Linked DNA regions of Nothobranchius furzeri. The protein of the gene in region 5 interacts with the protein of the main gene of each other region in a pairwise test. Links are inferred from orthologs where the notes say so. Each region holds a gene or a part of one and is shown on either strand. Other genes may lie near its edges. The genes, in order: pom121, ammecr1, dazap2, fbxl18, RNA-binding protein with multiple splicing, sf1 and per1b.

Region 1 (4,103 bases), on a different chromosome or scaffold from region 5:
TCTTCGTCTAGATCTTTGGCTGTGATGGTGTAGCCCAGCTCAGGAGGTGGAGGCTGCACATGAACAACCACAATAATGCAATCTGGATGCAAATAAACAAATGTGAGGGAGATCAGCGCTCCTCACCAGAGAGATGCGATCATCTCGGTGGCTGGACACCAGCTGGATCTTCCGTTTTCTCTTCCCACCACTTCCAGTCGAGTCTGCAGAGGTTGTGACTGGGGATTTGATCACCGGAGTTTGTTTTACTGCAATATTATGAAACAACATCATATTTGTTTGTGACCATACTTTGAACATGAATCATCTAAATTGGAAAAGTCATCTACAGATAAATGGGAATTACTGGTATCAAGGGTCTTGTCTGATGCAGTGTGGTCCGACTTCACTGAGGATGCAGAGCTTGGAGACTGAGTGTCATCCTCTCTGTTGATTAGAAAACATAAAAAAAGCTTTAATTTGTAGTTAAATGTGGTTTAATGATGACAAACATGCAGAAACAGACCTGGGTCTTTTGGCAAATCCCTCTGGAGTCTGAGAGCGAGACGATTCAGGGCTCGATAGAGGAGAGCTGGGTGCAGATGGTTTCTTCCACTGTAAAGAAAAACAAAAAATGCTTCGATTTGCTTTTGCTATGCAAAAACCCCCTTTACTAGACTCCGGTAGATGAAGATACCTGACTAAAACCTATCGAAGAGCTGTAGGAGCTTTGGATTGCATTTCTTCTGGTACCCGAAGTTCCTCTCGGGGCATGAACTCCAGAACTAGAGCTGATGGAGGAGGTGCGAGACCTCTTCATGGTGGTCTCGTCTAAGGATGCGGTCATCCCTCTTTTTAGGCTCCCTGGTCTGGAGAACATTAATAAAAACAACATTTAAAGCTTTGTCCAACATCTAAGATTATGATTCAGCTTTACATACAATTCTTACTCACTTAGGGACCAGCTGGGATGGTGCTCCATTAGGCAACAGAGGCTCAAAAGCAGAGTGCGAACTTCCACCGCTGTCATTGCGCCTAAGAAAAGCCATAAAAAGAAACCATAAGACAGCTGCTATTGTCCAGACTGAGCAGACAGTACCTCAAGAATCTATTAAACAAATTTTCTACCTTCTTTTGCTTCTTTGCTCAGCGGTGAAGCTCCTGTCCTCATCCTCTACTTCCCTCTTGCGGCTTTCCTTCAACACCTTGAGGACGCTCTCTCTGGAGCAGGGGTCTGCCGGGACCCTGGTGAGCCCTGCACAACTCAGATGATTCACACTAAAAACCAGAGCAGAGGACAGTCAGCACTGATTCGGCTGAAAGTAGCAAGACCTCAAGCAACAAATCAAGGGCTATCCAAATAGTAAATTAAAAGACAAAAAATTAAAAATTAAAAATAAACGGTCGTGCCCAAAAACATTTAACCTGCAGAGACCTGGGAATGTTGTGGTCGGGCCTGGCGATCTTTACAGTGACGGGACTGAGAGCAGCAGGGGAATTTCGAGGACTCAGGATGTTCTTTTTTCTGAAACCATCCCACTTGACAGGAGGCAGGACTCCTACTGAGGAGACTCCAGGCTGCTGAAGGGGGTAGCGACGCTGGGGGGTGATGGTGAACCTGTTAGCTGCACCCAGAGGCTCCCTGCAGAGGAGATTGTAATGGAAGGAACAACTTCAGCAGGTTAAAACGTACAGATGTTATGGAATAGAAATAAAACAATATAAAACAATCACTTTACATGTGAAACATGCAGCTGCATAGAAAAAGAAACTATGCTGCTCATCCTAACCAAAAAGTAAAGATATGCACTTTAACGAAAAGTTAGTAAAATGCTCTGTTAGTTTTTAGACAACACAAGCGTGTAGACACAACAAGCCATCAAAACAAAAGATTTATCACAGTAACTTAGCTAAAAGCATGAGTAAAAGAAGCCAATGAAACAAAGTTATTGGATGTTTTTAAAACGATTCCAAGTTAAAGAGTTCTGGTTAGAGCTTTATACGTTTCAAACATGTGGGTTTTGTGTGCTAACAAGCTAGCTAACGCTATAAACATTTCTTTTTCATGCAACACGTGAATTTAAACAGATGGATCAGAGCTTAATAAACCTAATTAACTCACCCAGAGAACGAAAGCCTCCTGTTCGGGGTATAAACTGCATGGTTGGGTCTGGACAGTTGTTCTCGCAGTTGCTCCCGGGGATTTCTCCCGGCTTTTGGCCTCCCAGAGACGGCCGCTGGACTTTCGGCTTTCCCGATGTAACTCCCCATGAGAAAATCCCGAGGGCTGAAAAGAATCGAGTCACTTGCTAAGGCTTCTCCTCGACAGAGCCCGGTTTTACTGAGCTTCGGGAGTCCCTCTGTCTCCCGGTGATGGTGCTCGGATCGGTTGCGGTTCTTCGTTCTACTCCGCGCGGCCACCGAGACGCCGGTCGCTGTCCAACCCGACGACCAGCGCCGCAGCACGCCCGAAACGTTTAATCCAACCCGAGGATTCGGGCCTAACCTGGCGGGAAACGATTCTCCGCTGTGATAATAAAAAGCAAAACAACAAGCTGCAAAAATTAAAGTAGCGTACAGAAAAGTGGGGATGTAGTAAAAAGCGAAGGTGATTAATCCTAAAACAGAGAGAAGCGCTAACTGTTTCTCCCTAGGTGACATGGCGGTAGCGCGCCGCCTCTCTCGCATTCAACATGCTGCTGCTCTATCCAACTGCTCGCGCGGCAGCGCTCCCTACCGAGCACAGGAGCGAACTACACCATCAATCCACACGTCACCGTGCACACTCGCCTATGCACGCAAGCACACACTCACAGCAGACTTACCGCTCAGGGAAATAGCAGACTCAGATTCTGCAGCATTCTGGAGGGTTTCCTGTTAACCGCGATCATTAGATGAAAAAGGAGAGGAGGGCGTTTTTTTCAAGGAGGCATGGGGCAAGCGGCTCCGAGCGCCAACTTGTCACATCGGCAGGTGAGTGGTTGAGCCAGGTGGAGGTGCGGCTACCTCAGCTGGAGACCAGTGCACTGCAGCCACGTGGTGATTTGCTGACAATGTCACGTTTTTCAGCTTAGCCATCAGCTGTGGCTGATTCTAAATAAATGTGGAGCAGTTTTTAACCTGAAGATGGAGATATAAAGTTTTGGGCCGAAATTAAATTTAAAGTTGCACCAAATTGCCACACTGATTACACATCTACAGACAAAAAAGTTAATTTAGATGTTACTCTTAAAAGTAAAAGACTCATGCGGAGTTAAAAGCCATAAAAAAGGGGTTTCAAAAGAGATTTAAAACAAGACAGCGATGATGCCAACCTAATATTTAAAGGCAGCACATTCCAGACTACACTAAAAGCCCCCACCTCAGAGGCTAGGTCTCATTCTTGGGACTTCCAGGAGCATCCATCTCATCAGCTGACCTTAGACCCACAGGAGTAGAACAGCAGCAGCTCAAAAGTAATGTTGAGTAAGGCCCTAAGGCCATGCATAGATTTTAAAGTACCTTATACTGGATACTAAAGCAAGCAGGTAGCAGTGCATTGATGCCAAGACAAGGGTAATGCTCCATCTTTATCCCAGTATTGTAACCTTCGCTTTAAATTAAACGTTAGGTTTCACAAACATGTTTTGATGACTCTTCCCTGCTTGTGAAACAATTTCAAAGATAGATAAGTCTGAATTATTTGCTGTAACCACAAATACATATACTTCCTTCTGAAAGCTCAGATCTGCCCTCAAAATATGCTAACATTAAGTTTTACATGCATTTGATATTTATGAGCTGTTAGTGTGGAGATCTAGTGGGATTTGGAATTAAGTTTGAGATTTAATTTTGAAGGCAATTGTGGCAGATTTTTTTTTGTTAACACCGTTTACATGTTGCCATCTAAAATTGGTCTATTCTGCAACTTTTAGAAGTCTGTTTAATTGGCTTCAGGGGAAACTGCTGAACAATTTTTGTAAAACATTTCAAATGAAAGCAAAAGCAAATTTAACCTTTTATTGTGATAACGGAACATTTTTGGTCACAAGTTAAAAACAAATGTAACTTTTAATTTCCAAGCATTACATGGCAAATGAAACCAACTGTGGAACCATGACTTTACTGCCCACCCCTCAGACGCA
Region 2 (4,202 bases), on a different chromosome or scaffold from region 5:
TTTCTTTTTATCCGACTTTATCAGGTCTGGTCAAGTTTTTAGTTTGTTTGTTTTGAAACAGAAGAGGCTGAAAACCAGTAACTGAGCAAGAAAATCATTAAAAACTAGGAGCAAAAGAAATCCAGAATAGATAATTGAATTTACCAATTAAAACAATTTACGTTTGTGTAATCAGTTGTATTAAATACCAGCAGAGAAAAGAGAAACACTAGGCTGGATGTACTTTAGCAGCTAATGTTCAAAAGGAACAAAGTTTGATTTTTGGGAAACATTAACAATTTAAAGGCATCAAACTAAAACAAGAAAAATCTCATCACCAAAACCATTCTATCGTGCACCCTTTAATAAAAAACAAAAAAACTAATAACTTCTGTAGGAAAATGCTCCTGCAGATGCATGTATTTAATGATAAAGTGACAAGAAATTATCATTTTCATCTTGTGAACGTGGTTTTTAATTAGTTCTTGCGGAATGTGAACTTGCACAACACACAAGATCACCCGTTTTGCATAATACAGAAAGTGCTTTCCATGTAAATAGTATTCTCCTTTAATTCCTGTAAAAAGTTTACTCTTAGAAACGTGTTTCTTTATTTAGACTTTCGAATTTAAAAAAGGAGCCAATCAATCAAGGTTGCAAAAAAAAAGGTTTAAAAGCTTCTAAATGTGAGTAATGGACCTTTCAGGCACATACGATCACATTACTGTAAGGTGGGGTTTCCGTGGAGGGCGATGGGTGTGCGGTTCCTCCCAAAATATATACGTTTATTGATCTGACGGTAACTTTAACCGTGTCAGAAACATATCAGTTTTAGATGATTAAATGGCCAGACATAGCCGGCTTTGTGCTTGCTTTATTTAACTACCGGTGCCACTAGTCCCTCTTTAACACCGGTTAGATAAGGCAGAGCTTAGAACTGCTAAGCACTTAGCAATTAGCATATTTTCTTTGTTGGTCGATGATAAACTCCGTTAGTTTGTATTAATTCCACGGCAAAACTCACCAACACTGGGTGAAATTAGTAAAAATTAAGTGATACAATTGAACTTTGATGTTGTCATGATATCATTAAGACATTGAACGACTCTATAAATAAACAAAATTCACACTAGTTCGATGCTAGGCTAATACAGCTTACAGCTAACAAAGCTAAGCCTAGTATGTAGAAATCCATGGTTCGTTTAGGGTGATTTACGATCACAAACAACGAAAGTCAACTTTTGCTGTTTAGCTCATACATTCTACATACGAACAGTGTTCTATAGCATTGCATAAAAGCGATGTTATATTATTTCCGTCCTCTTTTCGTTTTAATTTCAGTTGCTAGCGGATATTAGCTAACACTAGTAGCAAACACCGTTAGCTAGGTTTATACCTTAGCCACAGTTTTGCGAGTTAGGACGTCAGTACCATGAATTTATTAATTTATTTCCAAAACTGACGCGTAAAAGAACATAAACTGACCGTATACATCGACATTCATTGACAAAAAACAGTTTTATGTCAGGATCATCTAACATTCAGTGGAGCGTTTTTGTATGGGTTAAGCTGACGTGTTGTGTCAGAAAAGGTACCCCTGTGTGTTCCAACACGTTTTCATAGAGGAAGCTCATGTTGATATATATATTTTAAAAAATATATGTAAAAATCTAAAGTTTACAAGAGTACAAGATCGTCCTCATCAGCTACAGCTATATAAAAAGTATTTATGTTGACATGAAGGCTGCACAGGGTGATTTTCAGACAGGAAACGCTATCAGGAAAAATAGTTTACTGGAAAACAATACCTAAATGTTTTTACATACGAAATAAATATTTGTGCCCTTGACTGCTCCGAAAACCACAAATTTGTACTTTTGATCAATGAAAGTGGCTTAAAATTAGCTTCTTGTGACAATGACTCTTCGCGGTAGGGGTGCTTATTTCGACAAAACACCGGTCTGAGTGCGGTTTCCTCGACTAGGCCCGAGTTCCAAATTGGGCAAAATAGGCTACATTCAGCGAACCCTTTCGAGTAGAATTTGCGAAGACTGACTGTAGTTTCGGTGTGACAATTCATTTTCTGAACCGTGAAGAAAACTTCCAAGGCTAAACTCAACAAGTTCTGTGAAGACAACCTTTGTTAAGACATAACAATGCCATTTTTTCCACACAAAAAAGCAGACAACGACAAAAGTACTTACAAGGGATCATTTGTAAACCTGGGTGTTCTCGGAGGTTGGTATCCATACAGATGGCAATAAAGCACGTCAAAACAGAAGCAGCACATCTCCGCGGAGACAACCATTTTTCTGCCACCACTTCCCGAACCAGGTCCCGGGCTGATGTTCGGGGAGAGGCCGGATGTAGTATAACCGGCCGGGACTGGTGACAGAGCGTTGGTGCCACTGCTGCTACCACTACTGCCGCCGCTAACGTTACCCCCGGGTCCCCCCAGGCCGTTGACTCGGCTCACGTTTGCCGCAGCTGCAACAGCCGCGGAGGAGCCAATCCCCAACTCCGAGCCACAATGTCCGGTTCCTGCCACCCCGCTTCCCACCCCCACCCCGCCGGGACCCCCCGACCCGGGAGATCCCGACAGTTTCTGCTTCTTCACCCCGCAGCACCCGGCCGCCATCTTGGAACAATCTGCACCGACACACCGCTTCCGACCCATAACCGTCACCGCAGGAAGGGTGGGGGGAGACGCCGACCAGACGTAGAAATCCCACTGCGTTGCTACGTACGACGGACAATACTTCACTTTCCCTCTTTTTGTTTTTTATTTATTTATTTTTTGTCAGACGAAGAAAAAATCGACGTGGTGAGAATGCAATGTCACCCTATCGTTGCCTGTGAAAATGCGTGACTCACGCAAAATACATAGGCTATCGGGACAAGCGTTTGTCCCTTCAGTAGTCAGACAGTCGAGAGACGGTGTTCCAGTGGCCACCCCTTCTCTCTAACACCATCCAAAGCGATCTCGGTCAGTTCCCCTTAAACATGCAAGTTTAGGGAGTATCCGGTGTAAGCAGGCCGCAAATGACAGTAGCCAGGCGGTCCAGATGTGAAGCCGAACGCCAGTGCCTCTCCAAGTGGAAGCCGGGAGCTTGCGTATGCAGGACCCATCAGCTTCAGCACAATCTGCGCACAGTGTCTTGGGCAACGTAGCTTCTCATTGCACCAGCTTGTCTGCTACTGCCATATAAACTTCTAATTATACAACAGGCCCAGAATGTAGAGATCCCAGACGCCGGGGTAACGCAGAGGAAAATGGCATCTGACAATGCGGGGTTGGCATGGCACAATAAAAACGCGTCAGCGCCGAACAAGTAATTTCAGTACCGTTAGCCCAGTCTGCACCTGCATCATGACTGCACTTAAACCTGGTTATAAATCTCAATACCACCCCCGCGTCAAACGGAGAGCTGAAAGTTTTCAGCACGGGTTTGTTGGGAGGCTGTCATCCGCTCATGTAGACAGACAGAAGAGCGTTCTAGTCCGTGGACCGTGTGAAATCCGCTGGGTCTGGCAACCCTTCCTCCGCCGCCGCCTGTCAGCTGCTACAGTTCTGTGCTGGTCGGGTAAAAGCCCCTACGATCAGGCAGTGGACACAGGCATCTGTGCTGTCGGCACGCCGGAACCGGATTCAGGAAATGTTCTGCGCCCGGTTGCTACCGTAGACTTTTTTTTTTTTTTTTTTTTTTTTTTTTTTTTTTTTTTTAGAAAAGGTAACATACAAACAAAATGCACCTTACATTATATATTCAAAAGATAATCATTACATGCATATTCAACATTTTCATGTATATGAAAGAGAAAACAATAGAAAACGAAAATCTAAAGCTGGGGTCATCTAATTAATAGATTATTAACTTACTAACTCAAAATCTTCTACAAAGGAAATAAACAAACCAGCCTTTTTCTTTTTAACTAAATTCAAAGATTTAACTAATAATTTTAAGTCATTTTTCCAATAGGCTAGTGTTGGTTTGGTCTTAAAAAATCGACATTTATGTATAAACTGTTTACACAAAATTAATAACACATTAACACCATAACTAACTTTCTTTTCTTTCAAAAACACTCCAAACATTATCATATTTAAGGTAAATGGGGAAATTTGAATCCCACTAGAACAAAGCCAGGCATGAAAATCTAACCAAAATATTTGTATAAAATTGCACAAAAAAAATAGATGGTCTAAGTCCTCCTCTTCTGTT
Region 3 (3,929 bases), on a different chromosome or scaffold from region 5:
CATCTGGGACGGGGGTACGGTTTAGGCATAAACAAGGAGGGGAGTAGCTGCTGTTACCAGATGGTATAACCTCCACTGGATCCGCCCAGGAAGAAGTTGTTCTTGCGCTGTGTCATGACAACATTGGCACCCTGCATGGCAGCCAGCTGAGCTGCATTAGGGGGGTGTCCAGGGGGTGGGGGCTAGAGAAGAGGAGAAACGAGCTCAGTGGCAGGTTAAGAGTTACAAAGGCCTTGGCTACAGGTTAAGTCACTCCGTACTCACTGGGATGGAAACACTGCTGCCAGCTGTGAAACGAGCTCCAGCATCAAAGCCACCGTCCACCATCACTGTTGAACCAGGGGGGTAAACAGCTCCCATGTGATAGTAAGCCATGGGAACGTTCTGGCCCACCGGACCAACGGGCATGTGTGGCTGCATGGGCATGTACACCTGAGCACCAGGGTAGGGAGAGGACATCTGAGGCACCTGACCAGGCACCTGAGGTGGAAGCACGTATCTGGGCTGGTATATCTGCATACAAAGACACGAGAAACAGATTTAATTGAAGAATACTAAAAAAAAAAAAAAAGCTAATCTAGGCTTGACCTGTAGATGCAAGCGTTACCTCAGAATATGCAGGTGGTGTGTCTGAGTATGGAGGTGCCTGAGGAGACATTTGCATAGCAGGAGGGTATACAGGTGCAGAGCTCTGCTGAGGGTACACAGCCTGCTGTGGGTATGAGCCTGCAAAACAACATTTCACTTTTAAACACGCACAGCTGAAGAATTATGGGATGAGAACCGTTTCATTATTACTAGGGATGTAAGAAAATATCGATATGGCAATATATCGTGATATTTTTCGCAGCAATATTATATCGATATTCAAAAGCTGTGTATCAGAAATATCGATATGGCAATATATCGCGATATTTTTCCAGCAATATTATATCGATATTCAAAAGCCGCATATAGGAAATATCGATATGGCAATATATCGTGATATTTTTCCCTGTGATTATTACATTGATATTCAAAAGCCGTGTATCTAATTCTTGAAAGAATGCAAACATGCAAACATTTGTGTATTTTCTTTTCGTTTTGTGCAATTCAATCGCCACCCGCTAGTTGGCAGCAGTGTGCAACGGGTTTTGTTTCCACCATTGAACTGTAAATCCCTCCATCATGGTTCAGATACCTCATGTTAAACATGTTACATATCAGTTTTGACTGTTTATTGAACATGCTTATAATAAATTCAGTAAAAAATAGCTTGTAACGTCTGACTGAATGTATCGCAATATATCAGGATACATCGTATCGTCTCCCCTGTATCGTGATATGTATCGTATCGCCAGAATTACAAAAATACACATCCCTGATTATTACTAATGACTTTGACTACTAACATTAAGCTGCAAGTACTTCTTCTCAATCATCATCATCATCATAAATAAACTGATGCTGCTTCTGAGTGGAGATGGGAGGGAGCTGATTACATTTACAGCTAAATACATGAAATTATTACTGATGTGAACGCAACTACTGAGTGGTACACGTTACAGAAAATCCCAATGTCTTGTATACTGAAGCTAACGTTGGTCTTTTTCGGGTACAACTTTGAACGTTTCTACATTTTACAGACAAAAGAACAAAAACCAGATTTTGACACAAAGTGTCTTTAGGTCCAACATTTGGCGGCAGTAAAAGAAAGAACAATGTTTAAATATTGATGGAAACATGTTATTTAATATCATCAGGGGGGATTTATTTAAGCAACTGAAACTGTTGTGCATAATTATAACAAACTATGTGATGACTGTAGCAAGTCTGTCACTGCCAAGAGAGTTTCTAGTTTTGTTTTGAGTGCATTGTATGGCAAACAATACCAGGAAACTAGACATAATCACTTTTCTCAGCCCAGACAGTATAAGCAAAGGGTAAAAATGTATTACTTGTAAAAACACAAGTGAACGGATTAGAAATTAATAAAATGTAAATGGAAGATTTTATTATAAAGCCGAATCTGATTAACACAACGCACAAAAGCCTGGTGGTTAGTAAACAAATGTGAATTTTACATTTTCTTTGTCTTTCCAACATGACAAATCGACCATCGCGCATTACAGTTTGAATAAAATGTCTGCTTCTATTTTAGCTTTAGTGAAACAATTAATTCAGTAAGAAAAATATCATGAAATGTCATTAGCATTAGCCACGAACAAAGATGTCATGCTACAAAAAGACAATCTAAGCTCAAATAAGACAAACAAAAGAAGAAATAAACAACCTGGTGCATTTTTGCGCCGAACAGGTCTAAAAACATAAATGTAACCGGGATGTTCTTTGTTAACAAGAACTCCCCCCCTCCCCAACAAAAACAGGAAAGCCATGTCAGATTTGCTTTTATAATCACGTTAGCTTGCTGGAACACATCTGACCGGCCCGTTTTGGTCAAATAACAAAATGTGAAACTAAATTCGGACATCCGACGTTAGCAATATCCAAGACAGCTTGGTTCGGAGTGTGCGTCAGTTTATTGTTATGTACGTAGCTTCAGTTGGCCACAACGCGAGCTCCTCGTCTTTCCTTACAACGCCAACGTCAAGTAACGAGTAGCTAGCTGGAAAATGAAACACACGACGGAGAAATACCTTTGTTATTCATTGTTGTGGACTGATTCGGAGGCTGAGGAACATCAGATTAAACGGCGCTTTGTGTATCTTGTCTCGGCCTTATAATAGCTTACGGCTTGACACTTCCTTGTTTCTCAGCTTCTTGTTGTTGTGGAAGTGGTTACGTCACCCGTTCTTTATCTGCGGTCGGACGCACGCTCAGTTTCACCTGCACGCGCGCGCCCCCTTCTGGAGGAAATGAGATTTGTTTTTAAAGGAATATGAAAAGCACAAAAAACCCTAAATATTAGCTAAACGTAAAATGAAATTAATACTTAAGTGCGTACTACAATCAGTGTTGGGCAAGTTACTTCAATACTGTAATGCATTATCTATTACTTGTTACCCTCATTTTAAAGTAATTCATTACATTACAATATTACTGATTTTAAAATGTAAGGCATTAAACTACTTTTGAACTACTTTAAGTTACTTTCAACAATACAACTTCAATATGAATCTGGTAATCTGACGCTCAGTGAGCTCATGACATATATGTGGAAAGTGATGTGGTGTCTGAGCAAGCCCCCACAATGCAAGAGCAAGTCTATGGAAACCCATTGTCCATATATGTATGTCGATGTGTCTGAGCTAGCTAGGGTTGCTGTTAAAAACAGTCAGATATAATAACAGTGCTTTAAAATTATTGTTTATTAAATAAAAGCAACAACAATCTGTACTCTCAGCACGCTGCCATCTTATATTAACTGAGCATGGTGGGGGCTCCAAGCCTATATTTGCCTTGGTCCCCAAATGCCTTGATATGGCCCTGGATGTGGGACTGACTTCTGGGGTGATCTGATTCTATCACATGTATAAATATTAAATGCTTATATATTATTGCTTTTCACTGGTAAAAATGTGTATTGGGGATAAATCTACCTACTTTTTTCTTTTGAAGCACTTTGTTTTGTTTTCTTGATTTTATTTGAATAATTTCCTGCCCTTTTTCTCTCTAACCTTCCTGCATGCTGCATGTTTTCTCCGTCTTCCAGAAAAACTGTTCCCTAAATTTCTTACTTTCTAACTAATCAGCCAAAGGGATCTACCAAACCCACAAAAAAATAAAATAAACATTTTTTTAAAAAAAGCTTAATATTCGTTGCGCTCCAGCAGCAATAAGTTGAAATCACCGGGGCACAGATTATGAAGTCAGCTGAAAAGTACATGAAGTACCAGAGAATATGGACTGATATAAACGATCGCACACGAATTACTTTGTTTTGGTCAGAGGCGTGTCCAGGGAGTGGCCTGGGGTAGCACATGCCACCC
Region 4 (4,290 bases), on a different chromosome or scaffold from region 5:
CTTTGACGGAGATTCATTCTTTGGCACAAAAGATGGATGCCATCAAGGAGAGAGTGGACGAATCAGCACGGATTGGGATAGATTAACATCCATTATTGGGATTCTGAGAGGTTGAGGACCAACAAACTGTAAGATAGAGAAGAAGTTATCTCTGTCTGGCCCCAAAACAATTTCTAATTGGAATCTGGCGTCCTTGAGCCTGTGAGGCTCCAACAAACCCCCCCCCCCCCCCCCCCCTCAGAAGATACGTGGAATGTATCGTCGCTATGGCAACTCAACTCTACCTCCTTTCCCAGCCTGGGCGGGACAGCAGGAAGGCCGCTGAAGCATCCAGGGTCACTGCAACCCTCCAACCCTTAATGCCCCCCCACCCACCCCCCCACCCCCATGCGCTGCTTCATCGTGGCTGCAGGAACTGAAGTTGGGATAGTCCATACCCACCACCCCACCTAGTGAACACTTATGTTGTGTTGTCTGAAGTCTGTTGCATATCTCTGTCTGAGGTGTTTTTTTTTTTGCAGCGCAATGCTGCCTTCCCGGTAGAGGGTAAAGCTTGGTCCGCGAGGTCCGTGCGGCGAAATTGCGTCATTTTAACAACCACGCCCCTCCACCGCGCCTCCGCACGGCCCAAAATTCCGCACTGCACACCTAGGAAAATTTCTAACCACCCGGACGGTCGGATGTGGAAAAACATGGCGGACCGGCAAGATCTAGTAAGGCAGAGGTTCGTAACTACAGACATTTGTATGATTCAGCTCTCAGAGATCACCGTGATCAACATGTTGTTAATATTTCTTGGAGAGAAGCTCGCACTGTTGGAAAAGACGAGAACGCTGTTTAAAACTGCTGGAATGCCATGTTGTAAACAACAGTAATTTTTACTTCTACTATGGTGTAGTGTTGGATGCATGCTGTAGAGCTCCATGCAGCCCCGTTCAGTTTGAGAGAATATTGGCTCACCGCAGAGACGAGCCGCACGAACCATAAACGCTGCGAGTTGTGAAGCGCGTTCCATCCGCGAGCCGCATCACCAAGTGGAAAGTGAATGCGTCAAGCATAAACCAACCTTAACTTTGAAGTGCCTTTTTTTCCCTCCACCTGAACCAGTACTCATGTAACCCTCTTATCTCTATTAAGGTAGTGTGACTCAGGGTTGCGAATGACCACAATCACCAATTCTTGTCATGTGTCTTGCCCATGTATGTCTGATCTCAGAATTGTGTGTACTGAAACTCTAATTTCCCTCTGGGATTAATAAAGTATCTTTGATTTGATTTGAGATGACTTAAAACGCAAAGGTTAATAAAAATATACGGATTCGTGACCAGGTAAAACAAATCTTTGTTTCACTGTTTGTGCGTTCATTTGTGAAAACCTGCTGTGTCTACAACACAGATGTTTTTTTATTTTTATTTTTTTTCCTGGATTAACAGGAAGTAAGTCCGTAGGGGTAATCGTTCCGTGACTTCCGTCATGTGCAGTGCAGCGGTAAAATCCTTCCGTCTAGGTGTTTCGTGGTCAGCAACCTGTGGTTCAGACGTAAAAGCGAAATTTTTATTTATCGAAACACCTGTTAGGTGAAGGTCTCCTGTTTAGAAATCTTAGATAAGGCTTTGGAGAGAGCGACAAAGGAAATGGATGGACAGATTTTGCAAGTAGGTGTTGCGCCAAACCTCTACGCGACGGATTTTACTTGGTTACCGCGGAACATAAAAAAAATGATGTAAATTTTATCGCTAAAGCGAACATTGTTGCTAACTTTTTTACTCTAACATCTTCCGTCTGTCATCTAATTGCCCTGCGTATGGTCTCAGAAAGATAGTCCCAGTCCTTAGCACTATGAAACAATCAGATATGATTGTAAGCATTTTATTTTATGTTCGTGTCAGAGCTGCCACATTCAATGAAATGAATAAAACATGTTTGTAAATGAACAGGCTACTTGTATCAGCATTTTGTTGCCATTTAGATTGTAATGCTTTTTTGTTTTCTAATTAAAATCATGTACTAAAATGTTACAGAAGTTAAGAAGAATGGCAACGTCTTAAAAAGCTCGAAGATCACCCAAATCACATGCCTGACATCTTTCTGTCGTTCTCAGGCTGTTTTGGACTCAGAGACAGCGTCTCTGTCTGTTGGGATGTCCAACTTGTCTGATGAGATCCTACTGTGTATCCTTCATCACGTTCCAGTGTGTGACCGCCTGACGAATGTTGCAATTGTCTGCCGGAAGTTTTACACACTCTGCCACGACAAAACCCTGCTCTCAAACGTCACGTTGTCTGAAGAATATCTGGTAAAGCTGTTTGATTTCTTTTGATTGGTGCTGATGAGGAATTTTTCATGATTGTCTCATTAACTTTTCATTTTCTTTAAGGCTGATGATCGGTTAGTTCGACACATCCTGAAGAAGCTTGGCAACAGCGTGCTGTCTCTCAGCCTGAACGGTTGCTACTGGCTGTCTGGTTCCACACTGGAGCATTTGGCACGCTGCAGAGCAGTAACACACCTCGATGTGACGGGCTGTCGCATCAGTTATCTCTGTCTGTCGCACCTCCTCTCCTCTCTGTCCTCTCTCAGATCCCTGGCGTTTGATGTGAGACCGTGCTTTAACTCTGCTTTGCTCAGTTCAAAAGCGGTGGACTCGCTGAGCCGCTTGACGGAGCTCAAACAGACGCTCTTAACACCAAGCTATGGTGTTGTGCCATGCTGTGCAAAACTTCGCAAGTAAGGACTTGCAAGACAGATGCTTATATTTAGCTGTTTTTAAGCCATCATCCTTAAATATCTCTTCACCCTAGCTACCATGACTGTCAAGCAACTGGAATGGGATTTACTTATTTGTGAGTTTCTGTTTTAAGCTTCCGGGTTACAGATATAAAGATTTGGTTCTCTGGTGTGTGTGTGTGTGTATGTGTGTGTGATAGGCTAATGCTGCAGTTTGACATCCCAGATGTGACCAGAGAGGGTGTGGGTGTTAGCTGTCAGTTAATGGTTGGTCAGAGCAGTGTACCGCATTACGAACAGCTGGAGGAGTTCACAGCCAGACTGGCTCCAGGAGAGGTGAGTGTGTTAGTAATCATTTAAACAAGACCCAGTCCTGTCTGTAACACTGTACGGGATGTTTCCGTGTCTCGTTGGCTGCAGGTGAACCAGACGCTGCTCCTTCTTTACCTGGCGGTGTTCAGTGTTCACATTCCAAAGAATCTCAGAGTTTTCCTCGTGTCGATTCCCGGTCCAAACCCGGTTCACTGGCCGGCTGCTTCCTCGCTGGCTCAAAGTTTGGGTCAAAGAGGAGACCTGGTGGCTCTGCAGCTCCCTCGATCCTGGTTGGATTCTTTTTCTCTAAAGCGAGCCTTGGAGGGGAACAGCCCCAAGCACCTGAGCTTTAGCCGTTGCCCCGCTCTGTGGCCGCAGGTGTTCCAGTCGCTTCTGAACGGAGGAGTCCGAGATGCCACGGAGCTCATCAGCCTCAACCTCAGCGGCATCAACCACGTTCTTTACTCCGAGTGCAGGAGCGTAGAAGATCAGCTGGTTACTGTGACCCTGAGTCAGCTGGCTGAAGTCTGTTCCAACATTAAGCACCTGAATCTGATGCACACACACTACCATCATGAACACACACTTGCGCTGGATGGAGAAACACACCTGTGTACCAGTTTGGGTCGATTCAAACAGCTGCGCTCTCTCACCCTGCCTGCATGCGCTCTGTCTGACGGTGTGAACACAAATCACATCTCGTCTTGCAGCTCAGCTACCTCCGCGCTGTTTCAGGGACTGAAGAAAGCTCCTCGAGTGGGGCTCCAGAACTACAGACCTGACTCAGAATCCTCTCTCTCAGGAGACAGCACTTCAGGGCTGTCTTCGCTAGTAGCTGGCTGCCCTTTTTTAGAAACCTTAGAGGTTATTGGGCCAGGGTTTGTCTCAGCGCTGCCTCGACTCGAGCCCTGCACTCGTGCCAGCGTGGAGCCTCGTGGTATGTGCGCCTGGGCCAGGGAAGTTGGAGACGCACACTTGGCGGCACTTGAAGCTTTGCCTCAGTTGCGCCGTTTGTCTCTGGCTGGACTTCCTGGAGTTCTCAGAGGAACAGGACTGGTACAACTGGCCAGACGGTGCACAGACTTAAGAGTTTTGTCTTTAGCCAACCTGGGATCTTTGAAAACTATGAATTACTCCCCTGCTCTGCTGGAGACACTGAAACAGTGCACACAGCTGCAGGAACTCAGGTCAGAATATTCCTATAGTGTTCTTTTCCCTTTTAAAAAAAAGTGGTTTATTTTCTATTTTTAA
Region 5 (3,500 bases):
AGAAGACCGGCAGGGCAGAGTCTCAGCTCAGATCAGGACAGAACCGGAAATTCTCCACAGTTCACCGTCCTTGTAGAGCAGCTGAGTACACCTCGTGGAGTTTTGTTATTATGAGGAACCAGAAAATGATGGAATGAGGCATCAGAGAGTTATAAAATCTTTCCAGCGGGTAAAAAAAAAGCACATTCACCTGCTCTGTGTGATGTTGGGACATTGGATTACAGAATCAAGTAGTTTTTTTTTACTATACCACAGATTATTATGGCCAAAAATCAGCAAACGTGAGACAGAATTTACGCTTTTAACTTCATGAGATTAGCTTAGTTTGTTTTGCTGCTGAGTTCCGGGACTGTTGCAGGTAGAGTGATGGTGCTTATATTGTTGCAAAGAGGAGAAACTGGGCTTTAATTTAAATGGCTGCTTCTGAGGACAGGATCATGTCTTATTGTTGCTACTGTGTGTTTTTCTCAATATGTGTATTTAGCTACTTTTCAGCCTTCCTTTTTATTGTCATTGCTGAGGTAGAAAACATGGAATCTATCATAAGAATGGTAAACTGGCATCCCCTAGTGGTGATATGTGGATATCGCATCTAACAGATGGCATTTCTGTGCCACACCCAAAATAAAATTCAGCCGCCACTGCTGATTATGTTCAATTGGAATGTTTGCTTTGCAAAGTGCCTTGATGGCGCTATATAAATTACTGAATTGAATCTGTAGCTGTGTTTCTAGATTATGAGGTGTGAATAAGTAACTATTAGATTTAGTTGGATTACTATTTTATTTTATGAATTGAATTAAAAAAACATTTACAACAAGTTAGTTTTTTAGAATTGGGTTTACATTACGTTTTAAAAGTACTGTTTAATTTCTTCTAAAAATCTTAAAATTGTTCCTTGTTAGGGCTCTAAAAGGCTTTTTTATCTCAAGGGGCAGTCATTTTTTCAAATACATGAAGTCAACGCGGAAGTGACAAATATTGCAGTTCAACCCTCATCTGGTAGGTGCTGGAACAAAAACAGAGAAATCCTCATTGACTCCCATGTTAAAAATGCCAACTTCACAGCAGAAATAAACATGTTTACCGCCTGGTTCATAAACCCATTTTAGGTTTAATAGATCCAGTTTACACTCATGGGTGAATTTTTTTGTCACTCTTCCATTTTAGGTGTAATTAAACGCTTGAAATTATAAATAATTACATTTGATTGACAGGTAGCGTGAGCATCAGAGCTAGCGCATAGCACTGTTTGCTCAAAGATGGGTTGAACTATAACGTGTTGTTGAGGCTGGCTGGGTAACGAAACATGAGCAAGGTAAGTTGACCGAGGCTAGCTAGCGGAGGCTTCCGCGCTTCGCTGGTTACACCATGGTCAAAGATCTGCTAGGTCGCCGCTGCAGAAGAGGTTTGCTGAGTTTCAGTAACATGCCCATCCCTTTAAAAGTGACGGACCGACAATCAGAGATCTGATAATCTGTTGTTCCATCCTCCCGGAGACAGCCCAACAGGGAGGGTACCCGGCTTCTCCGATATCCTGGCTGTTCCTTTCTCCTGAGGGAGCTAAGCCGTGCTGCCACCTGGCTTTCTGGCATCCTCTACTGATCGCAGAAAAACAGCAAGGGAAGTGACACCTACAACATAACGTAGGCGAAAATAAAAACAAAGCTTTGCTACTCTGTGTAGATAAGAACCAAAAATAATGGAGCGGGATCAGAGGGCTGACTGGGTGGTGGTGAAGGAGCAGCGACGGCTGGTAATGGGGAACAGGTGGTGTTGGTTACCTGAGCGTGGAGCGAGGAGGGGTAGGTGAAAGCGGGTGGAAGGGCTGGCGACAGCTCTGCCGGGTACAGCGGGTATGACGCCCACACATCTGGGCTGCTGGGATATAGAGCAGGCACTGTGAGCTCATCTGTGGAAAGAAGAGGAGTGGAGTGAGGAGAGTGGCAAGTGAATGGGTGGGTGGATAGAGAGGCAGGGTGGAGGTGGCAGTGATGGTGGTGATTGTGGAGGTGCGCACTGGGAGGGACTATTAAGTATCTGAAGTTGAATCCTCTTATCGTGATTCTTTAAACCAAAGCCCAAAAATGTCTGATCAGCTGACAGCAAGCCTGTAAAGATTCCTGCTCATGTTTCCCTCATTGTCTTTTTACGATAAAAGCATTAAAGTCATGATAAAGATGAGTAAAAACATTTAGCTGAAGAAGCTAAAACATCCTGCCTTTCCCAATAGAGTACTGCTCTGAAGCCCAAACCAGTTTCCTGTAAGCCCATGTCCCCACACACACCAGTAGTGCAGGGAGAGCTACCCTCCAGTAAACCCAGTTAGGAAAAGCTGTGTGACCTTGTATTTTCCAGAGATAAATATCAAAGAAAAATAAACTATTTTTTGTAATTATTGTTAACAAAATATAAAGAAGTAGGAATGTTTAGTATATTGTTATGATATCCATGCATAATGTGTGTATGATACAATAAGATAAGCTATTTAATATCACCAAAACATAAATATGTTGCTATGTTTTGACTATCTTAAATTTGTTGTAAAATGTATGCCCTGAATTTAACCGCTGGTCTACTTTAGAGTCTGTAGCTCATAGGATGAATAAAAGACCTTACAATAATTATTGTTAGAAATGTGCTTAAAGTGTTCATTTTAATCTTTTGCTTTCCAAAATTAAGCTAGGTGCTGTGACCGGTGCGTTTGCACCTCCAGTTACACCCAGCTGAGATGGTTGTCATGGTTACATAGCAGTATTGCAACTTACCTAGATGGGGATACTGATCAATAACTTGTTAGACCATTAAAATATTTTTAAACTAGAGTTAGCTAATGATGCTAGCAATAACTTGGTGGCTTGCAACTGCTGTGGTTGGATAGCCTAGCGCTCTAGACAAACTGTAGCGACAACAAAAACGTTTGCTCTGCAGGTTGGTTTGGCCACGCTCCATTGTAGCTTCAGCAAGCCTACCATTGGCTTGGTGTAGTGTAGATTCGGCCAATCACAACACTCTACAGCTTAGATGACCACTGCCCAGCAACGGTGCTCATTTGAAATGGCTTTGGCATCAACTTTGTATGATTTAGACTTGGGTTCCTTTTTGAGACATGAGCAGAAATATATTTCTTCTTCTTCTACGGTGTATGGCGGACGGCCTCGTTGTCTGATTTATGCTGCTATGAATCCATCATGTTGTTTGTTGCTCTGATTGGTCCTAGCGCTGTCCAATTGCATGCAGACAGTTTGAAAGAAAACAGTAGTTTCTGCCCCATGACTGAGCTGCATATGGGTCATGGCCATACTATACATTTACAAATATAGTACAGCTTGCCAAGCTAGTATTTGGATGGCTATTGAGTCAAATTAAAAGCTTACTTCAGTCTGACTTGTAATTTCCCAAATTTCTTCAATCTTTGTTGGAAAAAACATCTTTGTGACTCTAATTTGCTTACCTTCAACGCATTAACTGAAAGCTTTACAGGCTAGCAGCAGCAGCTA
Region 6 (3,954 bases), on a different chromosome or scaffold from region 5:
AGGGTTGTCACGGTGTGAAAATTTAACCTCACGGTTATTGTGACCAAAATTACCACGGTTTTCGGTATTATCACGGAAGTTTTTTTAAACGTGTTACATTTTCACACAATTAAATAAACCCTGTATGTCAGGAAATATTGTCCTCAGTTTGTGTCTAAATTTTGCCTAAAATGTGTTATTTTGTAATTATGTTGTTTATTTGTTTATATTTTTCCCTTTAGTCTTTAAAATACCAATATTTGCCCATAACTTCTTATTTTGTCTGTTTGATGTCATCATTTAAAAATATTAGACCAGATGATACTCAGTACTCAAGTAGCCTTCTAATCAGATACTTTTTTACCCTTACTTGAGTAATAAACCCTATATCAGGAAAATATCGTCCTCGGTTTGTGTCCTTCCAGTGAGCTTTGCAGATGTGGGAAAATGTCATCAGGCAGTAATCATTGTTAAATTCATAATTATTCTCAGAGAGAGACCAACTCTTATCCGCCCCTGGGAGCCCCGTAATGCATAGCGTCATTTCAACATGGGGGGTGTCCGCGACACGGTTTATATGCAGGTAGCGGCGCTGCAGCTGCTTTATATAGCGACTCGTTGCGTTCTCCCTCAACCCAAATCCTCGGATCACGCATTTTAGCTAAAACGCTAACGTTAGCTTGCCTTGCGTTGACTGTAGAGTTGTGGGTGATGGTCACGCAGATGTGTCATGAGATTTGAAGCGTTGCTGCCTTTCACAGACACTTTTTCTGCACGTGCTGCAAACAGGATAGCAGTCTTCTATCAACTGTCCCTCGGCATTCTTCAGATATCGAAAACATGCCCGTACTTCCCACTTTGTCTTCTTTGAGGGATAATAAATGTCCTCCTGAGCGCTGCCGTCTCCTCCTTTGGCCATTATTTCAGCTTTAGCTTCAAGGCTATTAAAAGGCTGTTTTACTATCTAACGCTGTAAAACGCCTCACAACGCATTTTTATCAAAATAAATGATCACTGTATATTGTTAATTCAAATAATATAATATTGATTTAGTGTTGTAGTGTGTGTGCTGCTTTATTTTATATGTGTACTTATTTCAGTCTATTTGTGTTTCTTATGCAGAAAAAAACAAGCAACGATGGACAACTACATGGGGAACAAGACACTCACCCCCCCCCAGCAATGCATACCACTTACAAACTCTATTCTAGATTCTACATAATTTTTCATGGAATTTACCGCTTATATTTTGATGCCAAAAAATTATTCAGGACTGATATTTTTCACTGTTTAGCTTATTTTACACCGCTGACTGTGTTCATGTGCAATAAAATCGATTGCAGTCAACTGCATAATTCTCCTATGTTTTTCTTTTTCTTAACTGAAATGTATTCATCACTTGTATAGGTTAAATAGCTAAACAATAACAAACCGATTAATCGATAAAAATTATCGACAGATTAATCAATTATGAAAAATAATCGTTAGTTGCAGCCCTAATAGTATCGTTTACCAGATTAGATTTTGCTGAATCACATAGTTGAGTGAGTAAACAGATACATTTACACAAAATTAATTGCACAACCGCCCGTTTCAACGCGACAGAAGATCTCTTCAGTAATAACATTGCCTGAAGAAACCGCAGATTAGGGAAGGGGGACCATACGTCCTCTTTTGCCCCTGAGAAAGATCTGCTCCACAGCATAGAAGATGAAGACAATAAACAGGATGAAAAAAACTATGGACTTTTGATGTTAATTGTTTTTTTCAAATGACTACTGCTTTTTATTATTAAGTGGAGAAGAAACAATAGAAAATGCATTTAGTAAAATATTTCTGGAGTTTGCTCATACATCCTGTAGAACTATTGTTTGGTTACAAGTACATTTTCTTATGGATTACGCTTTATCGTTATTTATTGCAAGAGGTTTATGAGAAATTTAGTATACTTGTTCACTTGTGAAAGCCTGTCTGACGTCTGACATTTATTTCACCACACAGAGAAGGCGTGCCTTATCTTAAAAGTTTTCTTATCGTTATATTAAAGTTTGTCATGATCTAGCCATGTGTCCTCTTTTTGGGAAATCAAAATATGGTCATCCTAGATTAGGGGGGAAAGATGAGAAACACCGACAAGTAAAACAAAACCCTGCATTACGTTAACGCGCTACTTTTGACTTGGTTGTTAAAACATGCAAGATATTGTCAACTTAAACGATAGAAGCAAATGTATTGTTGTGTTCACGTTTTTATGGCTGTTTTGTCGCTACCCGCAGGAATGGGGACTCCATTTCGCGTCGAGAGTTCCATGCAGGCCCACAACCTGACGCTAACGCGTGTTGAGCTAGCGCCGTTAGCGGATGTTTGACTAACTTACCCGCAGACATTCCGGATCCTACAACTGACTGCTGTTGAACCAGGGTCGAATAACCTGCCCCTGGGTTGAACTGATGTGGTTGAGGAAATGGTGTGGTTGGCATGGAAGGTTGGTAACCCTGCAGAGACGGAAACGATCCGGGCGGTCCAGGAGTCGGCATCAGCCCGTTGCCCGCACCAGGCCCGGCGTCAAAGCCTCGCTTAGCACCGATGCTAGGGTGAAGCTTACCAAGGGGGGTTGCGTTTGCTCCAGTCGCCATTTTCAATAAACTGAAATGGCTTTTGCCACGCGAACGTTATATCAACGAGTTTTTATTTAAATGTAATTAATCTGTCAGAGAAAAGTCACCGCAGCTTGTTTTCTGAAACTTCTCCCAAAATGGCGCCCAACAGAAACGACAAAGGTTGAGCATTGAGGCTTCTGATGTCACGTTCAAGTAACATGTCTTCCTATTGGCTCAAGTGCTAAATCACCTTCCGAAATGGATCAAATGGATTGGTCCAACTGGCTTCCAGTTCGTTGTATTTTAACCAATCTATAATCAGGAAACGGCTTTACCCTCCCCCTGTGTGAAATCAGCAATGCTGAAATCGAGAACAATCTACGAACACTTTCCTCTACTTCAAGACAAGGACAAAGAACTATGCTACAACTTAGTCCTCTGTCTTGTGTTCATACATAAACAAAGAATACATAATGTATCCCCTAACTTTAACGTGTTCATATCCGACTTAGGTATCTATAATCCCTTCAATTTATTAAAGATAATTACTGAGTTTATATATGAAGTACTGTGTAATCTTCCTAGCAATGTACAATAACCCCTAGGTTAACAAATCTCAATGTTATATTTTTCTTTGTTTCGTGTTATTTTGTTTACCTGCTCTGATGTCAATTGAACTGAATTACGTTTGCCTTTGTTGTTCTGTACATGAAATGACAAAAAAAAAAAGTTCCTCTTGACAATCTACAGGTGCTGGCCAGTAAATTAGAATATCATCAAAAGGTTGAAAATATTTCAGTAATTCCATTCAAAACGTGAAACTTGTACATTATATTCATGCAATGCACACAGACCAATGTATTTCCAATGTTCATTACATTTAAATTTGATATTCATAAGTGACAACTAATGAAAACTCCAAATTTGGTATCTCAAAAAATTAGAATATTCTGAAAAGGCTGAATATAGAAGACACCTGCTGCCACTCTAATCAGCTGATTTACTCAAAACACCTGCAAAGGCCTTTAAAAGGTCCCTCAGTCTTGTTTTGAAGGCACCACAATCATGGGGAAGACTTCTGACTTAACAGCTGTCCAAAAGACAATCATTGACACCTTGCACAAGGAGGGCAAGACACAAAAGGTGATTGCTAAAGAAGCTGGCTGTTCGCAGAGCTCTGTGTCCAAGCACATTAACAGACAGGCGAAGGGACGGAAAAAATGTGGTAGAAAAAAGTGTACAAGCTCTAGGGATAACCGCACCCTGCAGAGAATTGTGACGACAAACCCATTCAAAAATGTGGGGGAGATCCACAAAGAGTGGACTGCAGCTGGAGTCAGCGCTTCAAGAACCACCACGAGGAGACTCATGAAAG
Region 7 (3,500 bases), about 12 Mb from region 5:
TTTTAAGCTGTCCTGTTTTTTTAATGTTCCTTGTTAATCTGCTTTTTTTTTCCTCTAAAAAATTAGAAATTTTTTACTTGTTCGCTTTCAAATATTTGTTTAAAAAATTTTCGCCAAAATTTGCTAAACTTCGTTTTTTTTTTCAAAACATTTTTGTAATGTGTTACTTTTAAGACATTTCATTTTTTTCCCCAAAATGTTTAAGGCTTGTTAACTTTTAAATCACTGACTTAACCTTTTTTTCATTTGATGAAATGTAGCTTTTTTCCACTTGAAAACTAATATTTTTCAATGTTGCCTTTAAAAAAAACTTTTAAAAACTTTTTCTTACTTATTCACTTTTCGAACTAACTTTTTTAATTTTCTCAAAAAAATGCTAACCTTTAGCTTTTCCTTTGGAAAACGTTTTGTAATGCGTTACTTTTTAAGCCATTTCCTTTTTTAAAAATGTTTTTAACTTGTTCAACTTAAAATTTTTTACTCTGAATGTTTGAAAATATTCTTAACGTTTTAAAAACTTGCATTTTTCTACTTCTTAGAGAAATTTAAGGTTTTGACTGTAAATCAACCACATGTGAATGTATATAAATAAGGTCACTTTCACTGTAAAACTACATTTAAAGGGAAAAAAATACTTAAATATGAAGAGTAGAAAGTATGAGCTAATAATCTAAGATGAAAAACAAATCCTCATTTGCTACAGTTTGATTTTATATTTCCTGAAGATCATTTAGAAACTACTAAAGTCAAGAAAAAGGAAACAGCACTGCTTCCAACTATTTCAGCAGCATTCTATGTAAAAATTTACAAGAGTTTTAACCCATTTGCTAAACAGAGCTGGCATGTTCTGCTGTGAAATGTGTGAACTTGTAGCGACCAGCTGTTTGCTTGTAAATCTGGTTAGAATGACACCATTTCTCTTGGGTAAGAGGCTAAATGTTCAAAAACCAACTTCAAAGAGTCTGAAATAGTTCTACAAGTAGAAAAACATCAGATAAGAACAAAAGAGAAGTCCAGGGATCTTGACGTGTTCCCATCACAGATCTGCGGAGAGTGAGGGTGCTTGACGGTGCCCACCTGACTCTGGAGGCTTCTTGTCTCCTACATGGACGATGGTGCTGCTGAAGCTACACTGAGACGTAACTGAGGCTACGCTCTCTGCCTTCGAGGCCATGGTCAGAGGAGGCAGAGGAGGTGGTTCACCTACGAGGTTAACTGAACCACCTGAAGAGAGATCATGGTCACAGAAACACGTTAGCAACCGGGTCATCGAACAGATGTAAAACTCATGAGTCTGACTCGCACATCTGGGCTGAATGAGCAGAGAGTTGGGTTCTCCCGCTTCTACTTGTGTTAAATATTAGTAAAATAGCTGGCTAGTCTCGTATGAAAGGTACCTTTGCTGTTGCCGCTGCCATCAGGCTGTCTGTCGTCATCAGAGGTGGAGGAGGCGGTGCAGGAGGAGGAGCCACACTTCCTTTTGATGGTGTTTGGAATGTTACAGCCCTCCAAGTATCTGTAATAAGACGACAGGGTGAGTGGAATTCTTAAACCAGCACCAGGAAGTTCAGGATGCTGCTTTCAAATGGGTTTAAGTGATTCTTGATCCAGAAATCTAACCTAGGGAGAAGTGGAGAACTTATTTAGAGTTGCTTTAACATCTGCACACACACACACACACACACACACACACACACACACACACACACACACACACACACACACACACACACACACACACACACACACACACACACACACACACACACACACACACACACACACACACACCTGATGATGCTGTCCAGACAGTTGATCTGCTGGTAGGAGTATCCTGTGGAAGGTTCCTTCTGCACAAGCGGAGCAGGAACCAAGGCTTTGGGAGGCTGAGTCATGTCTGCTATCAGACCTCTGATTGGGTCGTCGCCGATGGCTCCGATCCCGGCTGCACCTCGACGGGAGAACAGAGAGGAACATTTAAAATGAGGGGCCTAACATCTAGGTTTCTTCCATCTAACCAGACAAGCCTTCCAGGTCACCTGCGCAGGCGTTCTTTCGAGGAGGTGGGCGATTCCGAGACTCTATGAAAACCTGCTGCCCGTTGGTCTTCACCATGTGAACGTCTTTGCAGATCTGCTGGAACGTCATCTGGTGGGAAACGAGAAACCCAAGTAACTTCACGCCTGAAGGATTTGGTGATATTTACGGTGTAAAAATTCCAAACATGGATCAGACTCACGGGTTTGTGCGACGCAACCGTGGCGGCGACGTCGTCCACGGCGGGGCTGTTGCTATCGCTGGATGACGTGGCGGAGGCGCTGAGGTGCTGCTGGCGGGAGCCCCGCGAGCCGCTGGAGCCCAGCGAGCTGTAGCCCTGAGAGCCACCGCTGTGCACCGGCTGCACCAGGAGCCGGTGGATCCGCTCGCTCAGCTGGACGATGTCGGGCGTGGTCACCCTGTTCTCGAAGCCCATTGGGGTGGTGAACACGTCCTCGTTCAGAGGACTCCTGAAGGCCCGGTGAGGGGATGGCAACATTAGCGACGCACCAGAGGAAATGTGCGAACACGGCAAAAAGAAAATCAGACAACAGGCTCACGTTCTGACTTTGTGCCGTCCCACGACAAACGCCACCTTTCTGCTCCAGGGGTTGACGAAGGACGACCAGCTGGTGTCAATGGTCAGGTACTCCCCGCTGCGAGCGCACATCCTGAGGGGCGAGTAATCGAACGGCTGCCCTGCAAACTGAAAGACTGGAAACAGACGACAGAAACAACTAAATGTACAAAAACAACAACTTTACAGCCAAGAATCCTTCTGGGATTCGCTTTTAACACGTGTTGGGAATGTTTTTTTGTTTCTGTTGAAAGACAATCTGCAACTCACTCTTCTCATGGATGGCCACCATCATGGGCCTGTCCTCCGGGTGGATGGAGAGTAGGATGGGGGTTCCCACCAGGTCCTGGGGCAGGTAGCCCAGCAATGGCACGGCCCTGAAAACAAGTTTAATAAACCAGAAATGTGACTTTTACACCACTGGGTAAAAACGGACGTAACGGGAAGGACCGACAGTTTCTCAGACTCAACAATTAAACCTTTAAATGCTCAAAAATCACAATAAAATCTAAAAATAGCTAAATGGTGTCTCTGACCTCTCGTCCACCTCTTGAAAGAGGCAGCTGGGCGTGTGACTTGTGGTGAAGATCCTCTTGTCTGGGGGGATGCGAGGAGCTGATGGACACAGAGGAGACTAGTGTAAAAGCATTCTGGGAAACCGAGTTAATGAAGTGGTGCGTTTGTGATGTGAACGCTGAAGAATCTGGTTCTTCACACCGGATCTGTGTCAGAAGGACCAACCGTTTGTCCACCTGTTACATTCTGTATCAGGGCACGTTGGACCTCTGAGCGCTGAAACCAGAGTTTAGTCCACACAACTCGTTTAGTCTCCCTCTGTGAGCTAGTCGCTGTATTCTGACCAGCTCAGACTCGTTGTGCAGCCTGC

Evidence for each region.
Region 1: the proteins of RNA-binding protein with multiple splicing (region 5) and pom121 interact in binary tests that used the Homo sapiens proteins (3 or more experiments, as listed by UniProt). The two-hybrid records come from large-scale screens. The link is inferred for Nothobranchius furzeri from reciprocal best matches to the Homo sapiens genes RBPMS and POM121.
Region 2: the proteins of RNA-binding protein with multiple splicing (region 5) and ammecr1 interact in binary tests that used the Homo sapiens proteins (3 or more experiments, as listed by UniProt). The two-hybrid records come from large-scale screens. The link is inferred for Nothobranchius furzeri from reciprocal best matches to the Homo sapiens genes RBPMS and AMMECR1.
Region 3: the proteins of RNA-binding protein with multiple splicing (region 5) and dazap2 interact in binary tests that used the Homo sapiens proteins (3 or more experiments, as listed by UniProt). The two-hybrid records come from large-scale screens. The link is inferred for Nothobranchius furzeri from reciprocal best matches to the Homo sapiens genes RBPMS and DAZAP2.
Region 4: the proteins of RNA-binding protein with multiple splicing (region 5) and fbxl18 interact in a two-hybrid assay, tested with the Homo sapiens proteins (2 studies listed by BioGRID). The two-hybrid records come from large-scale screens. The link is inferred for Nothobranchius furzeri from reciprocal best matches to the Homo sapiens genes RBPMS and FBXL18.
Region 6: the proteins of RNA-binding protein with multiple splicing (region 5) and sf1 interact in a two-hybrid assay, tested with the Homo sapiens proteins (3 studies listed by BioGRID and IntAct). The link is inferred for Nothobranchius furzeri from reciprocal best matches to the Homo sapiens genes RBPMS and SF1.
Region 7: the proteins of RNA-binding protein with multiple splicing (region 5) and per1b interact in a two-hybrid assay, tested with the Homo sapiens proteins (2 studies listed by BioGRID). The link is inferred for Nothobranchius furzeri from reciprocal best matches to the Homo sapiens genes RBPMS and PER1.

What each region holds. Positions count from the first base shown.
Region 1 is NC_091750.1:52,615,023-52,619,125, forward strand, and holds the start of pom121 (nuclear envelope pore membrane protein POM 121), read right to left. Parts: upstream 2,801-4,103; 5' UTR 2,668-2,800; coding exon 2,102-2,667; intron 1,622-2,101; coding exon 1,415-1,621; intron 1,258-1,414; coding exon 1,108-1,257; intron 1,015-1,107; coding exon 934-1,014; intron 849-933; coding exon 677-848; intron 595-676; coding exon 506-594; intron 427-505; coding exon 347-426; intron 249-346; coding exon 127-248; intron 54-126; coding exon 1-53. Other genes in the region: polyubiquitin-C, read right to left, coding at 4,081-4,103. UniProt on the Homo sapiens protein: Essential component of the nuclear pore complex (NPC). The repeat-containing domain may be involved in anchoring components of the pore complex to the pore membrane. When overexpressed in cells induces the formation of cytoplasmic annulate lamellae (AL).
Region 2 is NC_091750.1:52,185,808-52,190,009, forward strand, and holds the start of ammecr1 (nuclear protein AMMECR1), read right to left. Parts: upstream 2,801-4,202; 5' UTR 2,657-2,800; coding exon 2,184-2,656; intron 1-2,183.
Region 3 is NC_091755.1:37,294,029-37,297,957, forward strand, and holds the start of dazap2 (DAZ-associated protein 2), read right to left. Parts: upstream 2,801-3,929; 5' UTR 2,650-2,800; coding exon 2,637-2,649; intron 727-2,636; coding exon 608-726; intron 514-607; coding exon 265-513; intron 183-264; coding exon 54-182; 3' UTR 1-53. UniProt on the Homo sapiens protein: In unstressed cells, promotes SIAH1-mediated polyubiquitination and degradation of the serine/threonine-protein kinase HIPK2, probably by acting as a loading factor that potentiates complex formation between HIPK2 and ubiquitin ligase SIAH1.
Region 4 is NC_091744.1:14,834,120-14,838,409, forward strand, and holds the start of fbxl18 (F-box/LRR-repeat protein 18), read left to right. Parts: upstream 1-1,490; 5' UTR 1,491-1,634; coding exon 1,635-1,655; intron 1,656-2,101; coding exon 2,102-2,296; intron 2,297-2,377; coding exon 2,378-2,727; intron 2,728-2,927; coding exon 2,928-3,063; intron 3,064-3,147; coding exon 3,148-4,226; intron 4,227-4,290. UniProt on the Homo sapiens protein: Substrate-recognition component of the SCF (SKP1-CUL1-F-box protein)-type E3 ubiquitin ligase complex.
Region 5 is NC_091742.1:66,831,331-66,834,830, reverse strand, and holds part of RNA-binding protein with multiple splicing, read right to left. Parts: intron 1,913-3,500; coding exon 1,785-1,912; intron 1-1,784.
Region 6 is NC_091743.1:88,306,302-88,310,255, forward strand, and holds the start of sf1 (splicing factor 1), read right to left. Parts: upstream 2,801-3,954; 5' UTR 2,616-2,800; coding exon 2,357-2,615; intron 1-2,356. UniProt on the Homo sapiens protein: Necessary for the ATP-dependent first step of spliceosome assembly. Binds to the intron branch point sequence (BPS) 5'-UACUAAC-3' of the pre-mRNA. May act as transcription repressor.
Region 7 is NC_091742.1:55,047,132-55,050,631, forward strand, and holds part of per1b (period circadian protein homolog 1b), read right to left. Parts: intron 3,230-3,500; coding exon 3,151-3,229; intron 2,992-3,150; coding exon 2,885-2,991; intron 2,752-2,884; coding exon 2,598-2,751; intron 2,508-2,597; coding exon 2,240-2,507; intron 2,149-2,239; coding exon 2,040-2,148; intron 1,952-2,039; coding exon 1,792-1,951; intron 1,517-1,791; coding exon 1,398-1,516; intron 1,225-1,397; coding exon 1,078-1,224; intron 1-1,077. UniProt on the Homo sapiens protein: Transcriptional repressor which forms a core component of the circadian clock.